2 linked regions of the Mytilus edulis genome follow. The protein of the gene in region 1 interacts with the protein of each later gene in a pairwise test. Links are inferred from orthologs where the notes say so. Each region holds a gene or a part of one and is shown on either strand. Other genes may lie near its edges. The genes, in order: ubiquitin-conjugating enzyme E2 W-like and E3 ubiquitin-protein ligase MARCHF5-like.

Region 1 (7,881 bases):
TTGTACCAGTATTGTGCTTTTTTTTTAATAAACACTATAGGTAATTAATCTTTTGTTAAAGGTGTCACATATATGCATAATGAAATTAACATATGACATGACAATTTTATTAGGAATGATTGTGTTTAACTGATGATGCCATAGATGGTACACTGTGATTGTCATCAAATAAAGTTTTAAATCTTCTGATGTTTTTTTCTTAACCTTTCTGTCTCAGCATTTTAACAAACTCTGTACTTTCTTCTATGTTTTCTTTCAGCTCTCTCTTTCCAAGATTCATGTAGTATATTTTAGTGAATTTTATATTGACATTAATGCTGTTATAGCTTCTGTATCATCAGCATTGGTATTTCTTCTTCAGATGTGATTTATGCAACCCCTCCCCCTTACTATATTGGTATTTAGGTATTCAGTCTCTGTGGACTTTCTCTAACGCTTACTAGATTACAAGCTATTTCAGATAGCATTTGTATAGCTCTCTAACTGTCAGAATGCTGGTCTAGTATTTGTACCAGTAGATATACATGTATCTGCTACTAATTGTATTGTCCATGGTTCTGAATCAATTGCTTCAACCCTTAACATTTATGTAGACAAACTAGTTAATTGGATTATAACAAGGTTCCCCTATAAAGCAACTTTTTATAATTAATGAATTATATTGATATCTTTTGTTGTGAAAGATTAATAAGAAAATAAAGACAAACAAATGCATATGATCTTAGTACACTAAAAATGTATACATGTATTAAAATATCTGTCAAAATATGTGATGGCATACATGTAAATGCTGAATTTACAGTGTTAGAGTCTAATAATTTGCTTGAATTTATTAAAGTATTGCTCAGATAATAATAAGCTTTTATTTTATTTTATCTATATTAAATAAAATAAAATATAGAAATATGATAAAATTATTAGCAATTGTTTAAATAATAATGATGATATGAGTTAATTTCAATAATCCTTTGTTTATTTGTGCAAGTACAGTATAGTAATGACTTTTAACTGGTTGTTAATTGATTTCACAATTATCCTCTATAATCTTTTTGAGTTCCATTTAATCTCCCTTTGATCTTCAATATAGTCTAATCAACAATACAACTACAATACTGGTATATCAGTAATGTACCAGTATTGCTGTTTTTTTAATAAAAAGTAACAATACTGGTACAAAATTTTTATACCAGTATTATGGACAATACTGGTATACCAGTATTGCGATCACCAACTACAGGAGATCCCAAATATTAGTGAAAGTCTCTAATGTAACTGTTATTAGTATTTAAGAAGGACACTAAATAAAAATGTCTATGAATATTTTTTTTATCTGTTTATCATTTCCATATTGCATTTTCGGAAGTAATTTTTTTGTTACTATACACGACTTCAACAAACTTTGTGTCATGTTTGTTGTAGAAGTAATTTCATACTTAAACATATGAGTCAAACCACAAGTTTCATAATGCACATCACATTATTAATATGAGACAATATCTGAAAAAGTCTAATTTTTGGAAATAAGAAAAAACCAAAAAAATTTTTTTAGACCCAGTATTTTAATAGCACAAATTGAAGAACACACATTGGGGATCTAGGAACTGTTGTCTGTAATTCAAAAAATTGTTTTATAAGGAAACAATGGCTATTTCAAAAATGGTACAAAACAAATCCAGTTCTTTCCTGTTACCAAAGTGAATCAATTTTAAAAAGTTTCTAATGGGAATAATGAATAAGTTTAAGACAATATTTGTGGTTTACTAGTATATCCTGCAAGAGTTTATCAAATGCCAATTATTTATTTTAGCATTTGCAATACAAAAGGTTTAGAAATATACTTAAATATAGTCAGATATGTCGGTAACATGAAAGAATCTTGAGTAACAGCACAACGGTAACAGGACAGAGTTGTTAACAGAAAGGATTTTTCTGCTTTATTTTAAAGTTTAAGAAAAATACATCATTTTAAATTGGTCACAATTGGAAGATAACAGCAAACAATGTGATTTATCCTTTGAAACTGTATTTGCAAGATGAAAAATCTGCCTAGGTAAGGAAAAATTCTAAAATAAATTCCTTTCTGTTACTATTTACTAAACTAGAATTGCACAATGTTCTCTGCTGTTATCAAAAGCAAAAAACCTATTTTTTTATTAAATATACTGTATATTATTTAGAAATTTATTTAATATGGTGGTGATAACTTATATTAAATAAAATGGTTAGCATATAGTAGATTAACTTTTCGATTGTCAGTGAAATTGTCTTGAACATCCTTCCTGTTACTGATGATGGTTATGCTGTTACTTTTTATCAGGTAACATGACAGAACGTAACAGAAAGGAATTACGCGATAGTTTTTGTCCTTTTTATCACATTAAATGTAAGTGTATTTCCTGTGACATATAACTTTTAAAAAGATGATATAAAAACACACTTAATGCTGTGGTGCACACTTAAAAATATTCTCAGTAAGTGTAAGAAAAGGCTGTAACAGGATAGAACACCAATAAGTATTTTTCTATAAATTCTTACCTTGGATGGGCTTGAATTTTCAAACCTGGCCGCCTTTCCAACTATTTCTTTGTACTAATGCATTCAGGAAATGATGCTCTGCACAATACATAATGGGAAAATAACTCTTGGTCTTGTAAATGTTTCCACAGGTAAAAAAAACCCAGTGGTAACAGGAGGGAAATCAGCCCTGGGGACAAATTTTTTTTCTCTTAAAATTTGCAAAATTTTATTACATGCTATAGTTATAATATAAAAAGACAAATTAGGGGCAAGTTTATTATATAATATATCATATATGTGAGAATCGGACGCCTGTTTAATTAATTTGGATATTATTTGAATGATTTAGTTTTCAAAAAAACACAGGGGACAACATGATTTTAGGGGGGTTGAACATTTAAATTACAATATTTTATTGGAAGAAATATAAGAATGAGTGTTTAATTGGCAGGCCATGGTGCATTATATAATTTAGTTTATACTGAAACTTAAAATTTTCAAAAAAGATGGTTGAATAAAAAAATAATTGCTGGTGAAGTGCGGGACATGGAAATTAGACTTTTTCAGATATTGTCTCATATATCGAATAAAAGACTGAAATGTAAAAGTGGAATACCTCCATAGAAGCCATGATCGTCTGTCTGTTTACCTTTAGTTTCGAATAAAAAGAAACTAAAAATTTATTGTTTTATCGTGTTTCATATATAAAAAGTATAAAGTATTAGAAATAAAAATTAGATTTCTTAATTTTGTGGATCGTGCATTTCTTTCCATAGGTTTAAAATATTATTCGAAACTAAGTCTTTACATCAAGCTTCTACTTATTTTTCCAGCTCGACATCTATGATCTACAATGGGACCTGCAAATGTAAGAATCAACCCTGTTGGTGGAGCTGTATTTATAGCTCTTGGTGTATGTGCAGCTTTGTACATGTTTGGTCTTCCCGACTGGTTCCATAGAGAGCCCAGAGTTAGCATGAAAGAACTGTTATCAGTGTGTATACAGCTTGCACAAGAAGGGGGCAAAAGAGTAAAAGATGTAAGACTAGCTAGTAATGTACTTCAGGAAAATCTGAAAGGAAAGACAGATGAAGGTGTCAAAGATGTGAAGACTGAAGGAGATACACAGTCGCACAGGGCTATTGTATATGGATTGGCAAAAGCATTCCCTGGTCTAAAGGTAGTTATTATATAAGACCTAATGATAGTTTTCTTAAATGCTAGTCTATTAGTTCTGGTTTGTTTCGTACCTACAATAAGGCAGTTTGGGGAAACAGTTTTTAGACTTACATGTATCTGTCGTGTGACTTCCATCGCCACGTGACAAAAATGTATGCATCCTGACTTCCAACTCATGTTGAGCAAACGGATGAAAAAGTTTGATTTTATACTACACAAAATATTTGGGAAATTAAAATCTAATAAGATGGTCACCCTCCCTCATTTGTACAGGAATCGCACCTACCCGCACATTTGTTGTTCTCACATCGAACATGTACATAAAACAGTACGATAATACTCCCCTGGGAGGCCTGTACTATAAAGGAAGAAGAAGAAGAATCAAGATTATGTACTAATGGAACATAAATGATTTCTTTACTACCCTACAAAATGACGATAATGCTGGAAACTTTTAATAGGGCAGGGATACAGACACATCTTCTATCTGGTAAATGACGTCATAAAGGGGTGCGAAATTGGCGATCTTTTCCAGTGAAAAACATGATTCCAGAAATGACGTATGGTAGTGTTATTGACAGACCCTTTAAGCACTGTCTTAATATCAGTCTGAGAAAGGTCCCAGATATCTATCTTTGGTTCTTTAATTTTTCGGTCCAAAAATGGTATGTCAGTAAAATTTTATGATATATACATTGTAGGTCAGCCTACTATTTTCAGTTTTCTAGTGTATAATATTTCTTTACTACTTTTATTGCTCTACCACATTCATACTGAATTTTGTTCAATGCTTTATAAATCATACATGTAGGTACTATTTTGCAATCAGATATATTTGCAAGGTTTTTGGATAATGTCACATGTTCAGTCCCCCAGGTATTTTACAATTTTACTGTGCCTTTTCACAGCCTTTGTATATCTCTCAGCACCAAAGCATGCTGTAATGAGAACTCACTGTTTGAGCTATGATTTCTGAGGGTGAACCCTTTGCTGTCTCAGACTCTTTATATTGGTGTGCAATATTTTTCTTTATTACAATGTACCCGGTTTGTTAGGTTGGTCTGTTATATATATACATGTATTGTTTTAACCTTGTAGTACTCATTATTGTTGATATTGATAAGATTATCGTTGATCCAAAATGTGTTCATGATGTTTAGCTTAAGTGTCAAATGCCTTATTTCATAAACTTGGTATATTTCTCTTTAGGTTATATCTGAAGAAAAAGATCTAAAACCTGTGAATTTACTGGAAATAAAAGACACAAATAAGCATTTAACAGAAGTTGCAGAAACAATATCAAGTGACCAATCAATATCAAACTCAAAGATTACAGTGTGGGTCGACCCTCTTGATGCTACAAAGGAATACACAGGTATAACAATATTTTGTCCAATTAAAGGGCCCTGTAAAGAGCTATTATCACATTACATACAAATACATAAGATAAGAGACATATAAGAAAACAACACCTTTCAACAATATTATTATTTTTATGCTTAGTGCTATATTAAAGTCCAGGACAGAACATATATACCTATGTATGCAAGTATACGTAGGAGTATACTTATGTTCTTTTTGGGTAAATACAGCAAACGCTTGAAAGTTTACAAATTTGATTTTTAAACAATAAACAAATATATAGCCATTTTGTGAGTTGTTGCATTAAGTGTTTATAAGGAAGTACACCACTAATTCATGGTCCCATTGCTTTCTATGTTAAATTCCTCCGTTTCAAGCAGGCACACCTCTTTTATTTTAAGTTCAAATAAAGTGGCAATCATTGCATTTCAAAGCAACACTTTATGGTGTCTTGTACTGAAAAAATCAACATACCTTACATTGCATATAAGAAAGAACTGGTTCCCGGAACTTCAGATGTACCAAAACAGGTACTTCAGATCTGACAAACAGACAAAATGTACCCTCTTTTTAAAATTTGGAGCAGTTTTTTTACTATTCAAAATTAAAAGTCCAAAAGTGTTCTACAATGATCACCAGTCCTTCAGCTTTCATTTGATACCAAAAATACCTAAATATTCTACATATTTTGAAAGTTACACTCATGCGTAGGAACTATTTTGTGTTAAATATGTACTACTTTCTGGTATGTGCTTTCTGGCCGGGCCTGAATTAGTGGTGTTACACCTATAACAGAACCAAACTTGCTATATTGACTTGAGCATTACTTTATTTCATTCTATGATCTATTTCAAGCAATAAAAAACATATAAAGCCTTAGTCCAAATACTATTTTATTAATTTAAAGCTCAAATTGGACTGGTAGTAACATATGGGTTATTCAAAGAAAACTGCATATGTATATTACCATTGGCCAATATATTTTTTTTATTCTCAATATCATTGTTTTATTTATTAATTTCTATTAGGAAAGCTATGTGCTTACTATTAGTCATATTTTTATCAGAGGTTCTTCATTAAATAACAATACATTAGTCCAAACTTAAGACATAAATGAGAAATTATCCCCCCTTTTTTCTTGAAATTGAAAAAAGGCTTTTTTTTTTGCATGAATTATAATTCTGTGGTAAAACATAGATTAATAAGAGCAATTTATATATCCCTCAGCTAGATAACTTGCTAAACTGGTCCAAAATTGCATGTACAGTGAGATTTAAGAATTCTTATATGAGTATATACCATTTGCCTAGATTGTAAAAGGCTACCATAAGAAAAACAAAAAAACTTGAAAAATCATGTGATTATTTTGACCAAGAGCTATTTTGTTCCATAAACAAGTCATAAAATACATGTTTTATTGATTTGAATCAGAAAAAATGCAAAAATGAGAACTTGGAGTCAAGTCTTAACTGCATGCATGTTGTATGACCATAAAAGGCTAACATATTTGAGTATGCCAATTTAAGAGCTTAAATTTCCCATAAGCAGGACGGTTGACCCAAAAAAGATGATTAGACATGATTACTAACATCATATTTGACTTATTTTCATTGGAATAGGTACAACTTCTAAAAATTGGATTTCTGGTGATTCTCTGTAATAGGAAGTACACCACTAATTCATGGTCCCATTGCTTTCTATGTTAAATTCCTCCGTTTCAAGCAGGCACACCTCTTTTATTTTAAGTTCAAATAAAGTGGCAATCATTGCATTTCAAAGCAACACTTTATGGTGTCTTGTACTGAAAAAATCAACATACCTTACATTGCATATAAGAAAGAACTGGTTCCCGGAACTTCAGATGTACCAAAACAGGTACTTCAGATCTGACAAACAGACAAAATGTACCCTCTTTTTAAAATTTGGAGCAGTTTTTTTACTATTCAAAATTAAAAGTCCAAAAGTGTTCTACAATGATCACCAGTCCTTCAGCTTTCATTTGATACCAAAAATACCTAAATATTCTACATATTTTGAAAGTTACACTCATGCGTAGGAACTATTTTGTGTTAAATATGTACTACTTTCTGGTATGTGCTTTCTGGCCGGGCCTGAATTAGTGGTGTTACACCATAAGGCCATTAACAATCAATCAAATTTTCAATATGCAAACTCTAATTTGAATTTTTATAATTGTTTCCATATATACTGATGTGCATCCACAATTATAATCTATTTTACCTGAAAATTTTAGTTTTATGTTTGTTAAAATATACAGCTTTTATTTGTTTATCTGAAATAGTTTATTCTTTAGGATTCAAAATCTGAATAGCAAGATAAATGTACATTAACAGTCTATACATATTTATAAAGGAACAATGACTTGATACATTGTTTGATATATACATGTACTTTGCAAATGCAAGCAATCACAATGTATAATCAAATAAGTTTCGATAGCAGATAGCAGAACTTTCGAGGTCAAGGGTTGAAGTCATAAAACTTTGCTCAGTGCTCGGAGCACACAAATCATGCTCGAAACATGAAATCCAACATTTTTATTGCTTGAGTTTTGAGTAAGAGTACAAAAAACTGACTTGAAAGTTTAATGACTTCAAGGCTCTCCTGACAGTTACAATTTCTCTGCTCTGTTAACTACACAATAACACTAAGTACTACATAATTTTACCAATCAAATCTTAATAATTTTGTTATTTGAATATATATATTTAATTTTGATGATGATATATATTTCTAACACTCTAAGTGGTACTTTTAAATCTGCTTGCATTATCTTGTGAAACTAATCTGATGAAGCAGCAC
Region 2 (7,600 bases), on another chromosome or scaffold:
CAAAATTCTACATTTAGCTTTCGGCATGTTCATTTTTTTTTTTTGTATAAACAACTGTTCACGTCAAAATCCATAGTACGTTTATCATGTCTATACTTCATGAACCATCCCACTTTAGCGTGTGTTGGCAACGCACTTTAGCGAATCAAGAGGACACATCTGTGTCTGTATTGAAAAAATTGCCAGATTAGGATGAACATACTTTAGTTTATCATCGTTCAACTGATCCATTTTGCCAAAAAAATGCATAACCTTGATCCTGTAATGTTAAGAAAACAGACAAATTAGGAAAAAAAGAGGTTAATAACTCCAAAACTGGTTGTCAATAGATAAAATCATGTGCTGAACACTTTTTGAGGCACCCTTTTACTCTAACCCTTCAAACTTTCAAAAACTTACAGCAAAACAAACAATGGAAATTTTCCTTTTATTTTTAAAAACTTTGTTGATGGATGGAAGAACTGAGAGACAGAAAAGGGGATAACAAGGACTAAGTTTATAACAGGGTAACTCTTTTTAACATACTTGAATTTCCACAAATCTTTTTCACATTAAACAGGCAAATGAGTGTATTCTACTATACTAACCAACTTTAGGGAATAAAATGATATATTCCATATTACACTGTGGACAAGCTACTTTGGCAGTACTGTTTCCCTTTTGCTTCTCATCTATCCATCTCTGAAGACAGTATTGGTGGACCCATTTTGTTGTTCCTTTGCACATACATGGCTGGACCCAACCTGCCTCCATGTCATCTTCATCTGTAGCAAAACACACCCAGCATGATCTCCTGTTATATACATAATACAGATGTAATAATTTACTTTAAACAAGAGGCTGTCACAACAACAGCAAACCGGATTTATTAACATTTATTTGTGTCCTGGCAATATCACAAGAACCATTACTGATGAATGGTGAAAGTGAAAATCGTCAATATCAAATTTGACCTCCATTTTGTCATCAGTATCAACATATTAAAATTTGAAAAGCTTAGATTGAAAGGTTCATGAGTAAATGCAACAACGTGAATGGAAACGTCATTTTACGATCTTTCAAGAACCATAACTCCTGAACGGTAAAAGTCAAAATCGTCATTATTGAACTTGACCTCTATTTTGTCATCAGTAACAACATATTATAATTTCAAAAGCTTTGGTTGAATGGTTCATGAGAAAATGCACGGACATGGCGGGAAACACCATTTTTCAATCTTTCAAGAACCATAACTCCTGAACGGTAAAAGTCAAAATCGTCATTATTGTACTTGACCTCCATTTTGTCATCAGTAACAGCATATTAAAATTTCGGAAGCTTTGGTAGAACAGTTCATGCATAAATGCACGGACACGACTGGAAACTCAATTTTTCAATCTTTCAAGAACCATAACTCCTGAACGGTAAAAGTCAAAATCGTCACTATTGAACTTGACCTCTATTTTGTCATCAGTAACAAAAATATTAAAATTTCAAAAGCTTTGGTTGAATGGTTCATGAGAAAATGCATGGACACGACGGGAAACACCATTTTTCAATCTTTCAAGAACCATAACTCCTGAACGGTTAAAGTCAAAATCGCCATTATTTAACTTGACCTTCGTATAGTTGTCAGTAATAAAATATTAAAATTTTAAAAGCTTTGATTGAACGGTTCATGAGTTAATGCACAGACAACATTTGATTGCCGCCCGCCGTACATCCCCAAATCAATAACCGACATTTTTGTCACAAAAATCCGGTTAAAAATACAAATTAAAAAGATTGCTTCACTGACAGCAGCTAGATACGACCGCAAAGGTCCAACCCTGAACAGTTGAGGCAACAATGGACAAAATTATAAGTGCTTGATACAGGTCAGACACAGAATAATTGTAGTTAAAGAACTTAGATTAGTTATCTATACTATTAAACGAGAAGACCTCATTTTGTGTGTCGCTTCTCTTCCTTCAGCATATATATTAATCATCATGACTCTGTGTCCTATAGGTACCATGCAAAGTCGCATTTCTCATCCATTCTTATGATTATTCAGTTTGGGTTATTTTGGGAGAAAAACAAAAAAAAAGTGTTCGGATATTTTTTCTGTCTTCAGACCGACTTTTAAACTTTTAACATAATTTTCATAATAGAATCACAATGCAAATGTGCCCACCTAGAATCTAAAACTTCACAAACTTGTAATGTCATTATTCATTTATCTAGCTAGATCAACTGGGGTGGTTCTTTTGAGACTGAAACACCCTGATATAATGTTACCTTAAAATACAGTCCCCTTGTCTGAAGTATAAGGCCATACATTACATATAATGTTGATCTCAGTGTGACAGGGGATTGGCTGATTTAATGTAAGTGTTACATGTGTACTTCTACTTCTTCTACTTCTATGTGGTTAATCTGCAGTTGAAATTTCCATAACGCAGATATATTGTGCGCATGTGTCAACCAGTACACGCCAAGTGAAAATAAACAAAACCTTGTGTATTTACAGGAACAAAAACAAATAAAATTATATGATGTGTGCAGCAACTGTACAGGTATAAAATCAGGTATCAATAGTTACGCCAGGAACTGCCACACACAGACCCAGAAGGTGTCTGTTGTGGGGGCTTGGATTGCACTTTCAGGTAGTTGAAATTAGTATTAGTCAAATTGTTGTGCATAATTTATACAAAAAGGAAACAAAGTCAGGCATTAGAAATCAAGGTGCAATTCAGAAATCTGACAAAATAATAAGTGGAATCCTGGATCATAACCCCTCAATGAGACACCCTGTAAAGAGTAAGGTTTCATTTTATTCAGAACATTACCTGTCTTCCTCAGACAATCTGTGGTATAGTTTAGCAACAGACGACATAATCAGATCAGAGTCAAGGCATTTTTAATCACAGGAACATAAGTTTGATTGGTTTTATAAATCAAAATTCAGTAAGTTTCAGTCACAATTCAGAGATATTTACGACAGAAGTATGATCAACATCAGTGAAAAAACTTCAAATTATCGTATGTGCAGTCTCTGACACTGCAGATGGAAGAAGTTCAATCTTTCTTCCCCTTATCGGCTTATGACATTATTTCTACGCAAATTTATGGAATTCTGAAACCAAAATGTGTTTCCTCTCGTTTCCTAAGGTTTCTTAAGTGTTTGACTGCAATATGCAGGTAAGAAAGACAGTAGCACGCAGAATATTTTCAGAAAAATGAACCGGAAGTCCGTAGCAACACTAGGTTCAGTTCTTATGTGTCTTCCTCCTCTGCTTTTAGGAGCACCGTCGTTTAACATGTTCAACTATTTTAATTTTAAAGACTAAACCTCTATATCAATAGTCTATTTTCATATAACACACTTAAAAACTATCGGTTTAATTTTAGATTTTCCTGATCTAAGAATTTACGTTTCAGAGTTATGGGGGGTTATCCTATTTTAAAAAGAGGGATTTTCCAGTTTTTCGGACACTGATAACCGAGTCTAAACTCACCAGTCCAATTTGAATGAAACTTGTTATTTTCTGAGATACTCTTAAACATTCCTTTAAATAGCAATTAATGTCAATATAATGGCGTTTTGTGAAAAAATATTATGCCGGTATTCACAGGCACATGTCTCTGCGGCAAACTTTTCTCAGAAAAAAATATCTCTATATTGACCTGAAAGTGAGGTTAAGGTACATAGATATATGTTCATCGTATAAGTTCTATTACCTTTCTGTTTGTGATATCTTTTATTAAACTGGTAAGATTTTATCTTTTTCGTAATATCAGAGACATATATACACATATATGTCTCTGGTAATATGTGCACTTTGGCATGTCAATTAGCATTGTCCTTGGTGCCTCTTGCAGTTGTGTCACTTTAAATAGTATTGACTCCTCTGCACCAGGCACGAGGATGACATACCAGATCATACCAGTTATGTGCAACTTCTTACAATATCTTACCATATCATTAATTTCCCGATACACATTTTAATATGCACCCACCATGCAATATAGCACCGTCCCTTGGTGCCTCCTGCAGTTCAGCTAGATATATTTAGCCTACTAACTTTTTTGTTACTGGCTTTCTAGAGGTGTGCCTGAGACGAAGGTTTTATATATATGTTCCAGACCGTATGAGTATTTGGACCGTACGCGTACGGTCCAGACCGTATACGTATACTCGTACGGTCCGACCATACGCGTACGGTCGGACCGTATGAGTATACGCGTATGGTCCAGTATGAGCTGACCATACATGTTATTGGATAAGATGGATAAAATGAACTACCTAACAATTTAAATTAGATATTTGTTTAATTGTATATCTGAATCCTATTTTGAAACTCTCGTCAAAGGTGACACTCGCTACCAAAAGTATATTTTTCATATTTACATTTTTTCAGTTCATGCATGTTCCTTTCGATTAGCATTTTTTTTTAAAAGTTGCTCAATATTCTAAAGCAATTGTCCTCCCACATTATTCGCATTCAATTTCAGTGAGAATAATTGTCATAATTCAATTAGTGTATTATGTATGACTGATCTACATGCTAAATACTAGAGATTTACAGATTTAATTAGCGTGAATTTTTTAAATAGTTAAAATGTAAAGTTTTTATTTCAATTACAATTGATTTTTTTTCTATTTATTTGAGAGTTAAGTTATGTTGATCTGTTATATGTATTTGTATCTAGTACAATTGACCAACTCCTTGATATTAGTCAGACCGTACGCGTACGGTCCGACCGTATGAGTATTTCGAAAAAGTACGCATACGGTCCAGACCGTACGCGTACGGTCCAAATACTCATACGGTCTGGAACATATATACTAGTAATATGTGAAAACTGTTTGTAACTATGTATACTGTATTGTTTATTATATTTGTAAAAGATGATAAATTAATATTATAATGATATTATATTATGCTCCTTGTGAGCCCATTTTATGGGAATAAAGCATTTTCTCTGTATCTGTATCTGTATAATACTGGAAATAACCTCAAAATACTGAGTAAAACTTATCCAGGAAATGTGTGGGTGCCACTGATGAATCTAGTCGCGCGATATAACTGCCTTAAAACTTTCCACATGCAGCTTTACAGTTCTTCTTCATCTATATATTTATTTATTAATGAAATGCACATTTATACCCCTGGGGGTTGAAGGCATATACAAACAATACAATACAATATACACAATAGAAAAATTAACATATCAAACATCATATATAAAGTGGTAAAACAGTAATATTTATGCAGGCGTTGTGTCCACTCCCCTCAGTGCAAATGACTTTCTAATGAACGGAACAGTAAGCTGCATAATATCAAATGAAGATAGAATTAATTGTAATTTATCTGTTTCAGACAAATTAAAGTATTCTGGACATATATTATTTATATCTTTTTCAAGCTGATTACGTAAAGATTTATTAATTTTACATTTTAAGAAAAAGTGGGTTTCATCTTCAACCGCATTTAAATTACAATGTTTACATATTCTATTTTCTCTTTGAATTCTTTTATATCTACCCCTCTCTATTTCCAAGAAATGGTCACTTACTCGCATTTTACATAATAATTTTCTATTTTCAAGACTATTTTTAGAAATGTATTTGTCTATTTCATATTTTGTTTTTATTTTACTGTACAAGAATATTTTACTGGTTTCATTAGTTAATTTTAATTTTTCAAAGAAAATATTTTCAAAGCTATCTTTAAGTTCTTTTCTAATATTTTTTGAGAATGACCTCTTCTCTTGTTTATAGTTTATATCCTGAATTTTATTTATGCCTAATTTATTTACATTGGCTATATTTTCTACATATGAAAACCATGAAAATATACCGTTAGTGCTAAGCCATTTAGATAAACAAAATGCATCATATAATAAAGGGTTATTTTCATCACTAGAAATTCTTGCTAAGTACTTCAATGATTGTACTTTAATAAAGACATCTATGGGATACTGAGCTAGTTCTGCTCTTGCAGCTATATTGACAGATTGTTTACTAAGCCCAAGTATATATTTGCAAAATTTTAAATGTGTCTTCTCCACTTGGCTACTATCAATCATTGACAAAATATCAAATTTACTCATGTCCTTAATTTGAGCCCGTTTTTCAGCTCTTATTATTTTTTCATAAAAATCCATATACCAAATTTCAGAGTTATACATAAGAATAGGTTTAACTAGTGATTCGAACAATTTTTTGTATACTTTTATAGACACATTTTCTAAAGGAGAAAGATACTTAAAAATAGAAAACAAAACTTTAGTACCTTTCTTAGCCAATTCAGTGTGTGATGAAGTCAATTTCCCAGATGCTTCAATTATATTTCCAAGATATTTATATTTTAAAACTTTTTCTAGTTTGTCACCATTTAAGTAAAAATCATATTTATTATATAAAATGTTTTTCTGTTGAAAGACCATTATCTTAGTTTTTTGTGTATTTATTGTGAGCTGCCACTTATTACAATAAAAATTTAGTTTATTTATAGAGTTCTGTAAACCTTCAGGAGTTTCAGATAATAACAAAATGTCATCTGCAAACATAAGGCAGCTGATTGACATATTTTGCAGAGTCACTGGTTTACAACTTTCATCAAATATTTCTGGTAGATCATTTATATAAACATTAAATAAGTTTGGACTCATATTATCCCCTTGTTTCACTCCTCTATCAATAGAGACATATTCAGATATATTCTCCTTTAATTTTACTGAAGCTTCAGTATTCTTATACATATTTTTTATCAAATTGTAAAATTTTACACCAATTTTCTCATTTTTTGTTATTTTGTACAAAAGACCTAACCTCCACACTGAATCGAATGCCTTTTTTAGGTCTACAAAACAACCATAAATCTTTTTCTTTTTATAATTTATATATTTATTAAACAGAGTCTTTACAATAAAGACACCATCTGAAGTCCTACTATTCTTCTTAAAGCCTAGTTGATGGTGACATATATTATTTTCAAATAAAGTAAGTAATCTACAATTTATAACCATATTAAATAATTTACTTAGACAGCTCATCAGAGAAATTCCTCTGTAGTTTGAAGGATCAAGATGATCCCCACTTTTAAATAATGGAATTATAAATGATTTATTATAGTTATATTTATCATATACTTAGCATTAATATGATAGCTTTTGCATATGTGTAATGGGCGGAAGTGCACAAGCCATATCTTCCCACCCGGGCTGATAACCCATATCAAGTGCCTCTCGTGCAAAAAACCCATATCAGTGCCTCTCGTGCAAGTTACTTCCGGTGTTTCCGGTATCGGTTGTTTACTTTTCCATTGTGACGTCAGATATTTTTTATGACGACGTCAAAATTTACGTGAACTTTTGTGGGGTAGTTTAGTACTTGCTAACAAATGCCAATGACAATTATGAATCATTTTATAGTACAACAAACATGGAGTAGTAATGATCATAAAACTCTTCCAAAATTTCAATGTTTCAAAATGCCTCTATAGGAAATGTTACTATTATTATATAAGGAGGTATAGTGCTGCTGTTGTTGAACAATTATAGTATATTTTATTCATAATTTAACTTCTTTATAAAGTTTTTGACTGTTTTAGTTATTGCATTTATTCATTTG

What was found.
Region 2: the proteins of ubiquitin-conjugating enzyme E2 W-like (region 1) and E3 ubiquitin-protein ligase MARCHF5-like interact in binary tests that used the Homo sapiens proteins (3 or more experiments, as listed by UniProt). The link is inferred for Mytilus edulis from reciprocal best matches to the Homo sapiens genes UBE2W and MARCHF5.

Annotation. Positions count from the first base shown.
Region 1 is NC_092344.1:109,518,476-109,526,356, forward strand, and holds the start of ubiquitin-conjugating enzyme E2 W-like, read right to left. Parts: upstream 3,180-7,881; 5' UTR 3,149-3,179; coding exon 3,134-3,148; intron 1-3,133. Other genes in the region: putative inositol monophosphatase 3, read left to right, coding at 3,371-3,697, 4,906-5,071. UniProt on the Homo sapiens protein: Accepts ubiquitin from the E1 complex and catalyzes its covalent attachment to other proteins.
Region 2 is NC_092347.1:53,783,302-53,790,901, forward strand, and holds the start of E3 ubiquitin-protein ligase MARCHF5-like, read right to left. Parts: upstream 3,255-7,600; 5' UTR 2,858-3,254; coding exon 2,811-2,857; intron 794-2,810; coding exon 588-793; intron 1-587. UniProt on the Homo sapiens protein: Mitochondrial E3 ubiquitin-protein ligase that plays a crucial role in the control of mitochondrial morphology by acting as a positive regulator of mitochondrial fission and as an important regulator of immune response.